Neodiprion lecontei: one gene and its partner. The protein of the gene in region 2 interacts with the protein of the main gene of each other region in a biochemical or structural test. Links are inferred from orthologs where the notes say so. Each region holds a gene or a part of one and is shown on either strand. Other genes may lie near its edges.

Evidence for each region. The genes of interacting proteins can lie anywhere in the genome.
Region 1: of the proteins of serine/threonine-protein kinase 3 (region 2) and death-associated inhibitor of apoptosis 1, one has a biochemical effect on the other in vitro, tested with the Drosophila melanogaster proteins (2 studies listed by BioGRID). The link is inferred for Neodiprion lecontei from reciprocal best matches to the Drosophila melanogaster genes hpo and Diap1.

What each region holds. Positions count from the first base shown.
Region 1 is NC_060266.1:19,436,271-19,444,810, reverse strand, and holds the start of death-associated inhibitor of apoptosis 1, read right to left. Parts: upstream 6,772-8,540; 5' UTR 6,470-6,771; coding exon 6,246-6,469; intron 5,475-6,245; coding exon 5,362-5,474; intron 4,840-5,361; exon of another isoform or gene 3,710-4,839; intron 3,604-3,709; exon of another isoform or gene 3,000-3,603; intron 2,918-2,999; coding exon 2,004-2,917; intron 1,552-2,003; coding exon 1,192-1,551; 3' UTR 1-1,191. UniProt on the Drosophila melanogaster protein: Anti-apoptotic protein which functions as a caspase regulator, using its E3 ubiquitin-protein ligase activity to smother caspase activity. Binds, ubiquitinates and inactivates initiator caspase Dronc, and effector caspases Drice and Dcp-1.
Region 2 is NC_060261.1:34,662,108-34,669,941, forward strand, and holds serine/threonine-protein kinase 3, read right to left. Parts: upstream 5,652-7,834; 5' UTR 5,637-5,651; coding exon 5,515-5,636; intron 5,313-5,514; coding exon 5,232-5,312; intron 5,123-5,231; coding exon 4,942-5,122; intron 4,867-4,941; coding exon 4,639-4,866; intron 4,502-4,638; coding exon 4,183-4,501; coding exon of another isoform or gene 4,180-4,182; intron 3,941-4,179; coding exon 3,807-3,940; intron 3,717-3,806; coding exon 3,554-3,716; intron 3,487-3,553; coding exon 3,395-3,486; intron 3,304-3,394; coding exon 3,109-3,303; intron 2,918-3,108; coding exon 2,738-2,917; 3' UTR 2,731-2,737; exon of another isoform or gene 2,371-2,730; intron 1,691-2,370; 3' UTR 1,202-1,690; downstream 1-1,201. UniProt on the Drosophila melanogaster protein: Plays a key role in the Hippo/SWH (Sav/Wts/Hpo) signaling pathway, a signaling pathway that plays a pivotal role in organ size control and tumor suppression by restricting proliferation and promoting apoptosis.

The DNA of each region.
Region 1 (8,540 bases), on a different chromosome or scaffold from region 2:
GTGTGATACTATATTCCTTTTTCGGTGTCCCTTGGAACATGGATCCAACTCCCGCGAATAAAAGCCTTAAATTATTGAAGCAGCAAAAAAAAAAAAAAAAATAAATAAAAAAATCATCAATTAAATAATTGCTTAAATGCTTAATTATTAAGGTAGATCAAAAGTTAATAATTTATTTACTGTACAGTTGGTTCAACGTGTACAGTTTGATCTTGTTTATTTTGCACTAAGTGCTTACTAGAATGATACCGCAAATGCCAGTTGGTAATATACAGGTGAGTGTGAATGCTTTTGAAAATTTAATTCTCTCTCCTATGTTTTTGTATCACTACGTTAAATAAAAAAAAAAAATTCTAAACCAAAATAATATTCCGGGTGGTAAGTAATTACCAATCACAATTTCTCATGAGATCATTGTGCTTTGAATATGTACATAGTCAAGAGTCAAGTTGCTATTTTTCCCCATTTAAAGTGAAAACACATTTTTTTGAAAAAAATAAATAAAATAAACATAATGTTGTTCATGTTACTTTGTCCAATTGCCTTTGTTTTCCGAATCACATATAATTGCTACAGAAATCTCATTACCGAAATAGTGTTATGTGCAGTATGAATATAAGCCATGAACATTACATCAAGGATCGGTTAGTATAAAGGTATAGCGAGAATGATATTGTTACTGATTTTGTTAACATGTTAGTGTTTTCACAAGCAGTCGTAATTTTTCGCCGGAGGCACAATTACATATTTGATACGAAATGTATCTCAATCACAAACAATGTACCGAATATGCTGAAGATTACGAATTTTTTCTTCTTTTTCTTCAGATACAAAATATATAAACTTCATCAAATTTTCAGAGAAAAAGAAAAACGAATTCGGGACACAGAGAAAAAAAAATATTGTTTTGAACGGAATAAAAAAAACTAAAAGAAAAGAAACATAAAAGATGACGCGTCTAATGTTTTAAAGCAAGACTGATCAATCCGAACTTCCAGCTCTCAGGATCTTGATTGACAATAAGAACAGCTGGCAACTAAAGAAAATAAATCACAAAATGTCTTTGAACTTTGATGAACTGTGCCTTCACTTCATTGATATGCCAAGAGTCATGTCTTGGCGAAAGGTATAGTAATGCTAGACATTATTCTGGCATTTTGTTGAATTTATAGTTTATTTTATGATGAAAAGCTATGAAATGTAAGCCCGCACAGTCATTGTGAAAGGTTTCCGGCATACTGCACAAGTTGTCAAACTTGGCGCGCACTTGACACAGGCTACCATGTGCCCACAAGGTAAAAATACAACTCCCAGTTCTTCCGTGTAGCAAATTTTGCAAAGCCTTCCGTCATCCGCTCTCTTTTCATCGTTCTCCAGGTTGTGATGCATAGAACCCTCGCTTTTATGTGGTCCCAACTCTAATGAACCACTTTTACTACAACTTTCTCCAGATTCGCCAGTCTCAGCAATTGGACAATGTTCTTCAGGCTCAGCTTCTATAGGCCTCTCCACCTTCTTTATGCAGTTTGGTAGAGTCAAGTTCTGCGCTTCCTGGAAGCAGAATGAATTACTTGATAAACAATAGGCTTTCAAGTTTGCGTCCGGCTATCATTTTCTTTTGAAAAAAGTATTCAAGAACTCACATGAGATAAATAAGTCTAAAATATTTAGACCCACTACAATGAATATTCTCTTCTGTGCACTTTGTGAAAGGAAACGTACATTCTTACTGAACTCCAACTTTAACAGGCACTTTGTATTTCAAACTTTTAACTTCTACAAACACCCTGGATATTAGTTTTTCCCGCTCCAACGATGCTTTCACAATCTTACAAAGTGGTGCAATGTAAGTGAAATGTTTTATAACAGTGAAAAGAAAATTACAAAATCACGAAATGGCAAATAGTGATACACGCTTTTTCTCCAAAAGTGATTGATTTAATGACCCTCGGCATAAAAATATTTTTTATTTGACAGCAGAAGGTGCAAGTTATAATATTCACCTCGGCTGAAGGCTGTTCCCTGGTGAGACCTTTGACTTGGTCAATGAAGGCTTGTCCTTTTACCATGAATAGATAAAAGCACTTGGAAAACCAGTGGGCGTGTTGTTCCCATGCATTGTCAGTTGGCTCCCAATCTTTAAGACCGCCACCACAGTAGTAGCAGAGTGTCTGATCTCCTTTGCCAGTGTAGAAAAATCCTGCATCAGCCAATTCCTCTTTCGTCTGTCTCATAGATTTTGGCCAAAAGTTGAAGGTCCTTAGCCTTGCGTCGCGGCTGACATATTGTGGATGTTTGGGCTCCTTGGGCATACCGATCCCCCAGCTCCCAAGGGTTGCAGTGCTTACGGTATGCTGAAGGTTCGGTGGGGATGAGCTGAGGTTGGGTCCAAGTTCCGACTCAACATTGAATCCATAGGGGCCACAGACGTCTGTGGTTCGAGGAGCAGAAAAAATGTTTGCACCGTCAGTGCCGTAAGGTACATTACCGCACGGTAATCTCCTGACAAATCTGCATCTTTCGGACCATCTCTGGTGTTCGAATTGAGGATCGTCACCCTCGACCCACTTGCAAATTTCAATTTTACATTCGAAACACCTTACTTTATCACCTTCGTTGAGATAGTAAAACCCGGCCTCCGCCAATCTCTTCGGATCCATGAACCTGACCGGCCAATTTGCGAAGCTTCTTCTACGCGCAGATTCAAACCGGAAATCATTACGATCGTCTGTTTCATCGGGAGGTTCACAACGTAACGGCGGCAGGGGTGGTTGACAGCAACGCCGCGAGTCTCTGAACCCGGGCGTGTTCATCGCCGAGTACCCACCATAACGAGACTGACAGCAATCAGTCATTTGAAGGCAGTTAAATGTGCAAAGAATGTGTTGAAGACAATCTTTGTGGTGCTTACCTGAATCTGAAGACAAACAAGAAGAAAACTAATATTATTATTATTGCTCAAGCGGTGCATTCGCATCTCTGTCTACTCGAATCCCCACCTTTCTCTGTGTATTACTCATTGTGTGCTTATGTCATTCCTCTTTTGATTCTAGTATATCATCTTTGTTTGTTCTAACAACGTTTTGGACTTGCAGTAATTGGTGTTAAGTAGGAGAAAAAAAAAAATATTCAATTGAAATTTTAACGGATTGAAAATGAGCAAAAAAGACTCTTGCTTGCTTTCAGTCTGAGTTTTAGAAGTCCGAATCTGCATCAACGGTTTTTCTTTGTCGTTAAATTAGCACAGGCCGACACAGTCCGTATCATCGCTTTTGAATAAATCGCCGCAGCTGCTTCTTTCTACAATAAAGCGAACCCCAGGAATCAAAAACGTACTTTGTGTGACCTTTCTTTAGTTTCCGGTACTTGGATAAAAATTAAACGACAATAACATGTATGCATGTACAAAACATACGTCCGCATCCGGGGCAAAAATGATGTACGACTAATTTTTACGCAAAGAGGCGCTGGAAGGGATCGTAATAGTGGTAAAGAAGGGTTGAGGAGGGGATCGGGGGGGTGGGGATGGGGGAAGAGCTTGAATGGGCGGACACGGCCAACTTTTACCTTTGTCAATACACTTACCGCGATCTCGCAATTATAAGGTGTTGTAAGAAAAGATATAATAATGATAATAACAATAAAAATAAAAAGAAAATAAAAAGTAAATAGGTTGTCTAGCGGCGAGGGAAAGAAACAATAAACTTACGGTAATTTTGAAATTTGTTATTGTTCCAGAGACGTCATCGGGCACGATAAATACGTACGTAGAATGATCGATGACCGAGGTGAATTTACAATGAATTTATCAATGTTTTAAAACCGCAGAACGCGCGAGGACTCGGGTACTTCCATGTCGGGTATGCGGCTATGACGATCGCGCTTCGCGCAGGCCTTACAAAGCGGAGAGAGAGCGGGATCGAGTGGTACGGTTGTGTGAAACTACCGCCTGAATTTGCCTGGCGTCTCGTTCTCGTACTCTAGGTTGTGCAGCGGTCGTGAGGCGCCTGGGCGAGCGTACGGCGCGTAGCGGCGGGCTTGTACGTATATAGGCGCACACACGCGCGAAGCCTAACAAGACAGAAAGTTTTCGATCCGGCAACGTTGCCAAACTCTCGAGTTCGTCCGTGGGTAGTCAGGATGCGTCCTATCAACCATATCAAGACCTTTTCTCTCTCACCTCTCTCTCTCTCTCTCTATTTATACAACAATTTTTATCGCATACTCTGTAGATGTTTTACTCACCGTTGTTAGTAAAAACGTTACATATTTTGCAGAAGAACCGGACAAGTAATAAAATTTCCGACAAAATCACTCGATTTATCATAGATTTTTACCGTATAGTATGTGACCTATACGCCTGTGTTATCCGCTGTATTCCGTTCTCAATTCGTAGAACTACTACAAACGTATACCTACTATGTATGGATATAATAGTTGTTGGGAATATACTTATATGGGGTTTTTAACCCAGCATTGTGGTATTTTGCTAATGTTCAGCAAATACGGCTTATTTTTTTCTCTGTCTTTTTTTTTCTTTTCTTTTCATTACGGAATCCCACGCAGAACGGAATCAAGTTTACGCGCATTTGTTGATCCGTATATAGCGATTACCTCGACTCTAGATATAAATAATGTTGGATAAAATGAGTTCGGAGAAAAAAAGGTGACCTTTACAGTCACGGTGCCGATTAAATTTGACACTGTCCTTCCAACTACGCTGGTGTTTTACATCTCGGTTAAATAAAATATACGATTAATGTTCAGTGATTATGAAAGACTCGACTTTTTCTTGTTTCGAAATATCTACGAGAACGTTGGTAATAGAGAAAAAATATGGAAAATATACATTTATATATTTTATTTCCTTATTTATAATTTTTGTGGTATATCTGGTGAGTCGGAGTTGAGGAAAACCGATTTCACTTCTACGTTTAACAGCATGATACAATTTCCAGGATAATTATTTCGAAAAATTACAACGACGATAATTTCAGTCGGTTGCGAAGCAGATTACAGAGTTCTTGAGCTCTGTAGTCACAAACCTATCCCGACGTATCATTCCCCTACCAACAGGATGTGAAAGCGTTGTGTGTGTAGAAAATGTTATATCTCCACATACCACGGCCCGGGATTTCTTTCTGTGAGACGAGATCATGCCGAGGATGAATGTTGCATGCATGTAAGGCATACGGTAGGTATGTATTTACAAGGGTATATAGACGACCGATTGATGCACGCTGACGTTCATTAGTTACCGGTAGTACATGAAACGATATAACAACAATCAGGAAATGATTGCAAAGGAATGAAAAGAAACGATATGGCAGAATGCATGATTTCATTACGCATATCACCAACCGGCAGAATTTCGATGACGTGGGCGATTATTCAGAATCTCGTGAAGCCTCGACAATGTGTGCAACCAACGGTATAGCTGTGTTTGTGTGTGCGTGTACAGCTGCCTGCCTTGTCTATAACAATAATGATATGAGCCAGGCTAAGTTATTTACATTCACCGCGACGTGACGTCGAGTCACACGCTCTCATACACGAGGTACAAACGCACGAACGGAGTCGAGCGTAGGTACAAAGGCCCCATTGACGGGTGCTGGGAAGCCCAACGGAAAGGGTCTCAGTTCGAGGAAAAAAAAAGAGGAATTCCTTTCCCCCTCCCTTCCTGCCCGCCCTCGAGCTTCATTGAATTTTGAAATGGCGGGTGCATGTTCGAGCGTCGAAAAATCGTTAACTAACGAATGGATAGCAGATAGCGTAACCACTATCGCGAAAGATTGAGAACGAAACTACACCATCTGTCGTTTCGACGTAATTTCTGATTTCGTTCGATATTTCGACGGGTGATTTTGTATGCGGACAAAGCGATTATCGACGTATCGACGATAAGGTGTGAAGTGTCATCGATATAAGCTGTAGACTGTTCTCAAGAAAATAATATTTTTGGTTTGATTATCTTGACGTTTCTGCGAATCTATCGGTCACGGCTCGAAGTTTGTTTAATTGACTGGAGATTATATATATACCGAGTCTTTTGGTATTTAACACAAAGGCTGTTCAAACTGGTAATTTTAACATCGTGGAACGCGATAAGTTTTTTTTTGCCGAGTATAGCGAATATTTGTATGACACACCCAGCTGGCGGCGCGTTATGATCACTCAACTTCCGGCGGATATAATAATTTTATAACCGCGATTTTAAAATAGTATTATAGGCCATGCAAGCTTACCGTGAGGCGAACACGAGCAACGAACGCGATCGTTTCACTATGCTGCAGTTCAACGAGTCACTGAGGAAATCGTGGACTTGTAACACAGCACGAACATTCACGCGGGAAGGTTTTTGAGTAAATATTTCCGTGTGCTCGATCGCTTTTAGTTCTGTTTTACCGACGTCGACTGGGATCGATAAGACGGACCGCAAAGTTCTCGTATCGGTTATAAGTCGGAGCATGCGATCGTTCGACCCTTCTGGACCAGCACAAATAGCCCTAAAAATCGATTTTCTCCTGTGCTCAATTTCTGCGAGTATCGACTGTTCTACTTTGAATCATTCGAATAATACGACATTGAAATATGATCGGTTGTATTTTCCATGTACTATTTCACACAAGCCCAATATAAGGCGTGTTTATTTGACGCTATTCTTAGTATTATCATTTCATTCGAAAAATCACAGTCTTATTTAAACTACTTTGCATGTGATAATTAGTAGGTACAAGACCTTGCGCATTAACAGATGAACCAGGTCTGCGGCTGTAGGACTTAGATAATGAAAATGAATGCGAATGAGTAATACGATTAGCGAAAATATCAGCTTTATTTACGAAGATATGTGGTCAGATATTGTACATCCGGTAAATTCCTCGTTATTCGTTCGTCATTGTATGCATAGAAAATATATAATATATTTCGGGGTCATTCACTCACAATCAGCTGTATAATCTTGCACAAATTCCAATATTCGTTATCGCACTGCGGTAGCATTTTTATCTACAATATTATGTACTGGAAAAAATCCGCAGTAAAATGATGACTTACCTATCTGCAATTCTTTGTGAATTTTGAACATTATATTTTTACAAATCAAATTATATTTTACATTTCTCAAAACAGTTGATCCACTGTTTATTTGTCTTCCTTAATGTTTCTTGCAATAAACCGTTTTCAAAAAAATATCGGAAAAAACAAATGACATGCGTCCGTGCACTCCGTGCCTGGCTCTACGATTATACAATCACACTTAATATCAACTACGTCAGCAACACATAGATAGATATATGTAAGCTACAGAAGGATTAATTATTCGCTTTGTATAATAGACGCAATATAATCGTAATAGATGAAAAATCATTTATAAATGACGTGGAAACGATCCAAGGGGCATCAGGTGTCTTTTATGCAATATATTGAAGGATATTATTATATTTTCGCGAGTAAAGCGATTAAAGGCGGAAATTGCGAAAATAAATATAAATGAACGAAGCGGCAATATATTGCGTATCACAATTTCTTAGAATCGACCGTCATCAGCTCATTTCAAGCGATGTCTTTATATTCATTGTCCTTGGGCCCCTCCCGTCTTTTTTGGCGCTCGAATTATACTTCGAGGTATGTCGATGTATTCATCATTCAAAAATGACGCCGTGTAAGAATATCGCGTAATTTCCGTCCCCACAACGGCCGTCAGTGCGGTTATCAAATGAAGAAAAAACAGATCATCTTGTCTTGTTAATAATCATATTTTCCTGAGCTTTATATATTAAATTAAAAATATGGTATGCTCGACAGCGATAGGAACGGATGTGGAAGGCGCCACACCCTGATACTTAACCGAGATATGAACACGTGAACAGTGGTTGCGTCTCAAAATATCCGTTAATATTGTGAGCATGAAAGTTCTCACGTACGCCCTGCTTTTTATGTAATCCTGTTGTAATCACCTCGTTATCAATTTACAATTTTAATAATAAAGCGCACCTATCGCCCGGCGCTAATCTCTGGATCACCTAACTACGCGCCTGCCTTTAATCAACGCCGCGTGCACACTGAAAGCATGTATTTTTTGGATATACCTAAATGTCTAAACTTTGGTCGATTTTCTCATCGGTCCTACGAGATTCTTCAATTTTTAATCATTATTTCATATTTTCGGAGCTAATTATCACACAATTATGATAGATTTTAGGCTATCGATCAAAAAGTTGACACCTTACCACGTGAGTCGCGGGAGAATTGATGTTGGTCGTTACGGCAGAATTTGAAATTCGAACAATTTTAAACCACGATCCGCTAAACAGCAGCACGAGAAACAAAGATCCGCTGCAAATATAAATAATAATGCTTATTATCTCAGTAAATTTTTTAATCAATTTCCCTCAATTTTCCTGCTTTATAGTTTAGCTACCGTTGAACTTTTAGTGAAATTGAAATGGAATCACTAATAAATTTTTGCAGTAGGCTGGACATCAAGAGCTTTCAAGTATAAAAAATATTAAGAATAAAATCGTTCTGAAGATTGGATT
Region 2 (7,834 bases):
ATAGTCTGTAATAAAACTGTGATATAAGAACATGTATAATAATAGAATGAACAACGTATTTTCATAATAATTCATAGTCCATTAAATAAATCGCAACGTAACAAAATAAACAAATATTACTTTCTTTTAAATTATGCAGTTAATATGACAAAACATATCTAGGTATATAGTGATAACTGTTCGAAATATTGCCACTAAAGTTTGATGCCAATACTTGTAATAAATTAATGTACCAATTTATCTAAGGAAATAACAGCGTACAATACTATGATAGTTTTCATTATAAATATTAGGAAGCACGTAGAACAGAGAACTGTTTGCCACAAGATATTTTCTGGAATAACGCAATTTTATAATTATTATTTGTAAAAATACGCAAAATGAATAAATTTTTATATTTATACTAAATACGTAAAATTTTACTATCATCTAATGCCTGTTGGTGATACAGCAATGTTAACTTAGGAGGTATTTCTCATTAATTAAATTATAATATTCAATATGAGAGCACATTGGTTTATTCACTTCCATACAAATATGCAAACCTATATTAAATGTAATGCTATAAAAAAAAAAAAAAATTCACAGTCAACGTCATCTGCACTAGATTGACTTAAAAAAAAAGTAATAAATAAATTCTGGAAAAGATTTTGACAAAGGTGGACGTTGTAAAGTAATACAACTTTACAATGGTACACGATTTCTACGTAGGTATAAAAATATACAAGATTATTCTATCCGTGATTATGTGTTCTTAGTGAAAAAAGTACGTGTACTAATGTCAGTTTGACTATATGGTTAACTATATAATACTACATATTTATTATCTAAAAAAATAGTGCAACGTCGTTGATACACTTTATTTTTATAACTCCAATTTGATATTTCATTATTTCAAAATTGATTCGTGCTGCTATACCTGATGATATTTACTTCAATAAGGCAAATATTTAGATATCCCTCCAAACCTGATAGACAAATCAATTGCAAAAAAACTCGAATAAGTCATTTGTAATTAGTATATCGATGAATACTGCCAGTTTATAAATTGAGATACTCGACCTCATTGTCATCATTTGTGACACGAAACTGTTTTCAATCTCACTATAATCCGGAAATTTCCTGCATCACGGACTCAATGATTAAAAGCTTATGCATACTACGGGAGGTGCGAATCTATTGTCTTACCTATCCATACGAAATTAGAAATCTATCCTTCTCCATCTCTACTTATTTGTTGTTTTCTTTTTGTTTTGTTGTTTGTGTTTTTTTTTTTGGCACATCGGTATGTATGGTAGGTAGTGTAAGTGCAGAATCACTCAAACTAAAACTATTAAATGCTAGTTATTGAGTTACGAGATATGTATTGGGTGATATCTGTTTTGTCGATTTAAAAAAAAAACTCACCGCGTACTAAAAGTGCATACTTCTAAAATGAGCTGATCATGGGAAAGTTACGCAACAATATTATTCAAGACAATTCGAAACCCATCCGATACACTTCTCTGCCTTCATAAGGACAAAACTTGGCCAGCAAGATCACCGGGATGTGCAGGTAGCAGAGATCCATTGTTTTACAATGCTTGAAGCGCAATGTCGACACGTTGATATGGGTATACATATGTATGTAAGCATGCTCAGGCGTCGGGCAAGACAGTTTCTCGTGCAAACATTAGCCTGAAGCGTCATACTGCAAATCAAATAAAGGCAAGTTAATGTTGCTAGATTAAAAGATTTTTTTTTAAAACTTCGGTCAGCATTGAATAAGACGTATTTTCACCTGAGTAAAAAATCTAGCTACTCTCGGCGTTGTATTAGATGCATCCCAATAGCAAATCGTATATGTACACAATATTATGTACAAACGGAAAAAACAAAACAACTCACCTCAAACTATATGTTTTTTAGTACGCCGGTACATGTGTTCGTTGAAATAAATAACTTTCAAAGTGTTACCTTTAGCAGTGACCATTTGGTTTGAGGATAAAAAAAATATGTGCCTGAATATCAAAGTAATTCAATCTTTCATATCGTAAAACAGTGCGACAAAGGGTTATTAAGAACAAATAATGTTAATATTTCATCGGTAAATTTTTAAATCACGACACCACTACTATTAAAAAATGTGATATCAGATATGTGCTGGGTAAATAGTAAAATGGTAAAAATGTAATTGCATGTAGTACAATTTTCGGTTTAATATGAATAACAATGATTGAAAAAAACGGATTCACTTGAATCAACCGATGATACTGGACACGATTTATTTTCTAAATTGACTTTATATTTAATTCGTGTATATAATGTTTCTATAAGAATATTGTTTGTATAACAGTAAGTAAAGTTAACATATGTAGTAAAAAAATTAAGTATAGTTGCGATTCCATATTTAATTTGTGTAAAATAATTTACATTGAGTGACGTATCGCTATTACACTAATAATATTATAATAGATTGTAGATCCCTAGATTCACGAAAAAAATATTCATTACTAGAGAAATTTTATTGCAGTTCTTTTTTTTTTAATGAGGTATTAAAAAATAGAATATAATGAATTTTTATTAGTGAAACTAGGTTTTGAGAACGCATAATTATAATCTATTCATTCATTTATACAACTGTACACACTTTTTATCTCTCTATCACGCTCGATTCTATTACTTCGTCTAGCAGAAAACAATTAGGAAACAAAGTTTAAAAAAAATATGTGTATATCAATAAAACTATACCGAAGCGTTAGAAGTTTTGCTGACGCTTTCGCTTGGTATCCATGGCATCAAGAATTGGCTGCCTCTTTGTCTGGTACCTCCGTCTTAATTCATCTATCTCACGTTCCATTTCTGCATCCAGGCTGGCCATGCGTTGCTGCAGCTCCTCGTATGAGAGGAACTTCAGCTGAAGGACATGCTTGTTTATCTATATTGAATTTTCGTTATGATGCCTATGACTGCGTTTTTTAAATACATTTATATTGAAACATGTTTAGTTATAATTTCAATAATGAAGCTGATGGGTCTTCCCATGATCCAAATGTATCTATTGACGTCAATTATGCAGTAGAAAGTTTGTTATTCTTTACAGTGGGAAAAATTTAAGAATATACTTACAAAATCAAAGTCTCGTTCTGTGAAGGCATTTTGAAATTTCGATATGTTATTGTGAGCCGGCTCTTGCACAGGACATGATATTTGATTGAGTTGTAGCTGTAGATGGCTTTGAAACCTTTGAGATTCTGTTGGACTCTGTTGTTCCACTTTAGGTTCTGTTTCTGTACTATGTGCGGCAAGAATGTGGCCATTGTCCTGAGAATAAGAAACAAAATCTCCTTTAAAAGTGCCAATACTCCATAACAAAAACGGAACACTGAGAAAGTTACAATAAATTTGAACTCACATTGCCAATCTCAGTTGCTTCCTTCTTGTCAAAATGATCAAGAAATAAGGGACGATACTTCTTTCCAGACTCCACTGATCCTGTGTTATGCCCTGTAGAAGGTAAATTAACCATTTGAAGACAATGTCTTGCTCCATAAGTCAAAAGCAGTATACCCACTTTTCATCGTTGCTTCTGTGTCCGTGTCACTATTAATAACCATTGTTCCTAGATCCAACATTGCAGAAACTAGAGTGCCTGTGTCAGGGAGATCTACACCTGGTACCAAGGTCCCGACATCTTCTGGAAGGGGTTTCATAGTTCCACTGCAGTCTTCTTCGTCCTTCAGGTGAGAAAATTCAATGAGCAATGTGAAAAAATAATTGACTTTGTAAATTGTTGAGTAGTGAATCGAGATGGAAGTATTTTTTACCGAATCATCAGCATGATTTTTTCCCTTAATAGCCACATTATTAATAACGTGTGCTCGGTTGGTCTGTTTTTCTCTAATTTCATGTGCCTCCGCTATCATTTGACTAAGGATACTTGGCTGCTTCGCATTGCCTTCAACAGTTCAATAGTGAAATTGATATAAGTAAAAGAAAACCTGAGTTTTGTTAACAAGTATATCAAAGATATTTATTGTCATTGGTATTAAATTTGAATTTGTTTGTTTTTGATATGTAAAACTCATACTATAAAAAAATGTCAAGGCAGTCCTGAGTTACATGTATCGTGATTCGGGTTGTTTCATTAATTACTGACTTGAGACTTAATTCAATTACTTGCATGAAACACAGTACGACTACCTATAAATTCATGACTGAGCAGTTCAGTGGCTGTCGCCCTTTCTTCAGGGTTTTTGACGAGACAGCCACTAACGAATTCTATGAACTCTGCACTCCATTTGTCAGGTTCTCTAAAACTTGGTGGGGGTTTGGTGGGGATCATGAAAATTGCACGCATTGGATGAATGTCACCATATGGTGGCTTTCCTTCTGCCATTTCTAGAGCTGTTATACCCAATGACCATATATCCGCGACGCAATCGTATCCAATCTCCTGAATTACCTCCGGTGCCATCCAGAACGGAGTTCCGATAACAGTGTTGCGCTTAGCCATAGTATCCTATAAACAAGTGGGCCAACATTTTTTTAAAATTCGCAACACTGATTGTAAGTAAATGTGGATGAATTTTTTTTTTTTCTTTGCTTTCCGTCTAATTAGGTGTCAAATTTTTCTGTTTCTTTGTTAATTTGTTTCACCGTTAACTGTCCAGCTACACCAAAATCAGCCAGCTTAGCATGCCCCTCAGTATTGAGTAAGATGTTTCCGGCTTTGATGTCCCTGTGGATTTTCCTCCTAAGATGGAGGTATTCAAGACCCTTAAGAGTATCACATAATATCGTAGCTATCTCATCCTCTTGCAGGGTTTTCTTCCTCAGCCTCATTATATCACTGACAGAACCGGCGCCACAATACTCCATAACAATCTGTAATAACAAATCATTTCACTATCATTGTTCGAACCGATAACATTCACGTAACTCACGAAATTCAATTCATACCCATAAATCCGTGTTCTTGAAGTAACTTCCATAGTATTTCACTACATACGGTGAATCGCATTGCTGCATTATTGAAATCTCCTTTATTATCTCCTGTAAATCCGTATCCACAGGTACTTGCTTGATCGCAAGCACCTGCCCGCTCTCTTTGTGCAATGCTTTATAAACGGAACCATAAGATCTGAAACAAACATTGAGCCATATCTTAAAAGACATCCAAATTATACTAAATTAGTATGGCACACTAATAATTAGATTACTAAGTAGAATTCTCTCAAAGTAACGCTCACCCTTCACCAAGCTTGCAGATTATGTCAAAAACCTCTTCGGGTTGTCGTGTCAAGCTTTCCTCGGATAACTTTTTCAACTCACTGTAAAGGTAGAAGGAATTTTTTAGCGTCTGTTCAAAATTTTAATCTCTCTGATTGTAAGATGGCTTTGTCATATTGTTTCTAAAAATAAAGTAATCCAATGTCATGTTTGACAGACATAGAGGTTGGACTTAAATCAAAGGTGGTTCATTAGAGATTGGAATGACGTATTGTAAATATTTGACAAGATTTGCGTACATACTATCTGTTTGCAAAACCTGAGAAGTAAAATAAAGATTGACCCAAAGGCAAGTTTGGAGTGGGAATATATTTTTCCGTTAGTTCATTCCTTGAGAGAATGGACCTTGGAGTCAGACTAGACATGTATGAAATTCATTAATGCAACTTAATCGGTTGAAGAACATAACAAATATATTGTGAACGGAGTAAGCAATGAAGAGTAGTTTACAGTGACAAAGGTTAACAAAGAAAGAAAACAATTTTAGGTTTTCGATAGTACTGTTATTGCTAATTTGTAAATATGTAATTTTCGAGTGAAATGGAGATTGTTTGGAATAATTTACAGCTTAACTGTCTTTCTAATTATTGTTTTGAATCGTCGGCATCATTTCGAAAATTGGAACTATTTTGACGCATACATATAAGGGTAGGATTCATTCGGGTCCAGATAAAAAAAAGGAAAACAATTAAATAAATATACATATATACCTTTTAGAAGACATCTTCGTTTTTACGTCAGTCTAATATTAACTTGGATAAAAAAAAAAGAACACACATTCACTACGCAAATAACGAACTAATACGTCAAAAATACACTATACGTTGATAATAAAATCATATTCAATTCAAATAACTAATATTACATTTTTTGACAATAAAATTAATTTTAACCACAACTGAAATATCGAAACCCTTGATCAAGACGTCCATAGACTTTCAACTCTTATTTGTCTGTAACCGAAGCAAATATATATTTATTGACTAGCTGTATAGTTAGACTGCCTTAGTTCATTATAACTCCGACTGATGTCAGAGTGAGGGGCCGAATAATTACTTCAGTCAAAGTTTCAAACGTTTCAAGCGTTTCAATCGAGCATTTTACAGTCGAAAGGTCTTTACAACTCATTATCTTTAATCACAGCTACCGTATGAAGGAAAATTAATCAATTATGAAACACATTAATCATCGATATTCTTGCAAGTAACAATCGGAGACTTTTTATCTGTGCCTAAATAAGAGTGGCTTTTCACACGGTATTATTCTCATCCTGAATAACGGTACAGAGGATAGCCTACGAGGGAAGAGAAAGAAGAAAAACAGAATTACGATGCCAATTAAGACCGATGTTACCGTGATGCAAAAATCGGTTACGTCTGATCATATTCTATTTCTCCCTAGATGCCCTGTTCGATTTCAACGTTCACGGATATATCTCCAAATATCAAAGGCCACGTATCTCGAAAACGAAAAAATACTTAATAGCCTTATTTTATACACAGTTCTGAACAAAAACAGTCCTAGACATTTTTCATTTGACGCAGAAATAAAGAAATGGCCCAGATTCTACGAAATCGAACAGTCAAATCGTAGAATTCATACCATATATTTCTTTATTTCTGCATCAAATGAAAATGTATTGGAGTGTTTTTGTTCGAAATAGCGTACAAAATAGGGCTGTTAATCCTTCGTTCGTGTGTGAGATAGGTGGACTTTGATATTTAGATCAGAACCTATGTTCAACTCGTCAGCTTTCGAACATTGTAATTGTTGCAAACAAGCGTTCGATTATCTCTCTTCCAAATCATGGATTTTCGAAACTCCCGCGTCTACGAGTCCGAAGTGAGCGGTGTATCGTTTAACGGGCAGGCTAGCAGGCGAGCACGTAAGCCTCTCGTCGGAAATCCAAACTACTCTCGGCGAGCCAGCCGTGATCAGTGTGCGTGCGGTGCTCGTAGAGTATGGCGGTAGGGTTTAGAGGAGGTAGCGTTGTCGGGGCGATCGCGATCCATCGTATGTGCCGCGTAGGAATTAGTGACCTGCAGCAGGAGGGTTGTAACAAGCAAGTGTGTATTCCCTGAATGATAAAACGGGGACCGTTCCTAGCGTTGTGCGGTTGACAAAGAAAAGTTGAATCGTGAAGTAAGCGGTTCAATCGGACTACAGTTGTATCAAGACATCTGAACGATGTTCACAGTTCCGCTGGATCGATAACAACAATGGAATTACTTGTTATCGCGTAAGAAAGAGAATGTGCGTGCGCGCGCTGCCGCTGCTCCTGGTGCTGCTGCTGCTACCCATCGTCGTCGATTCCTCCGCGGTCACCACACTACAATCACGCTAGCAACGCCGCTACCTCCACCTCCTCACCAACACGACGATAGATCCTTATGTACCTACCCACCTACGTACGTACATATATTCCCCTCCACCTAAAATCTTGAAGAAAAAGCAACAGGCCAGGCCAGGCCACACGCCTTGCCTGGGCACGGCGTTTCAGCGACGCGGCGCATAGTTAAGATCCAGACTGGTGTCTGTCTCTTCTTGTGCGCGGCACTGTGTC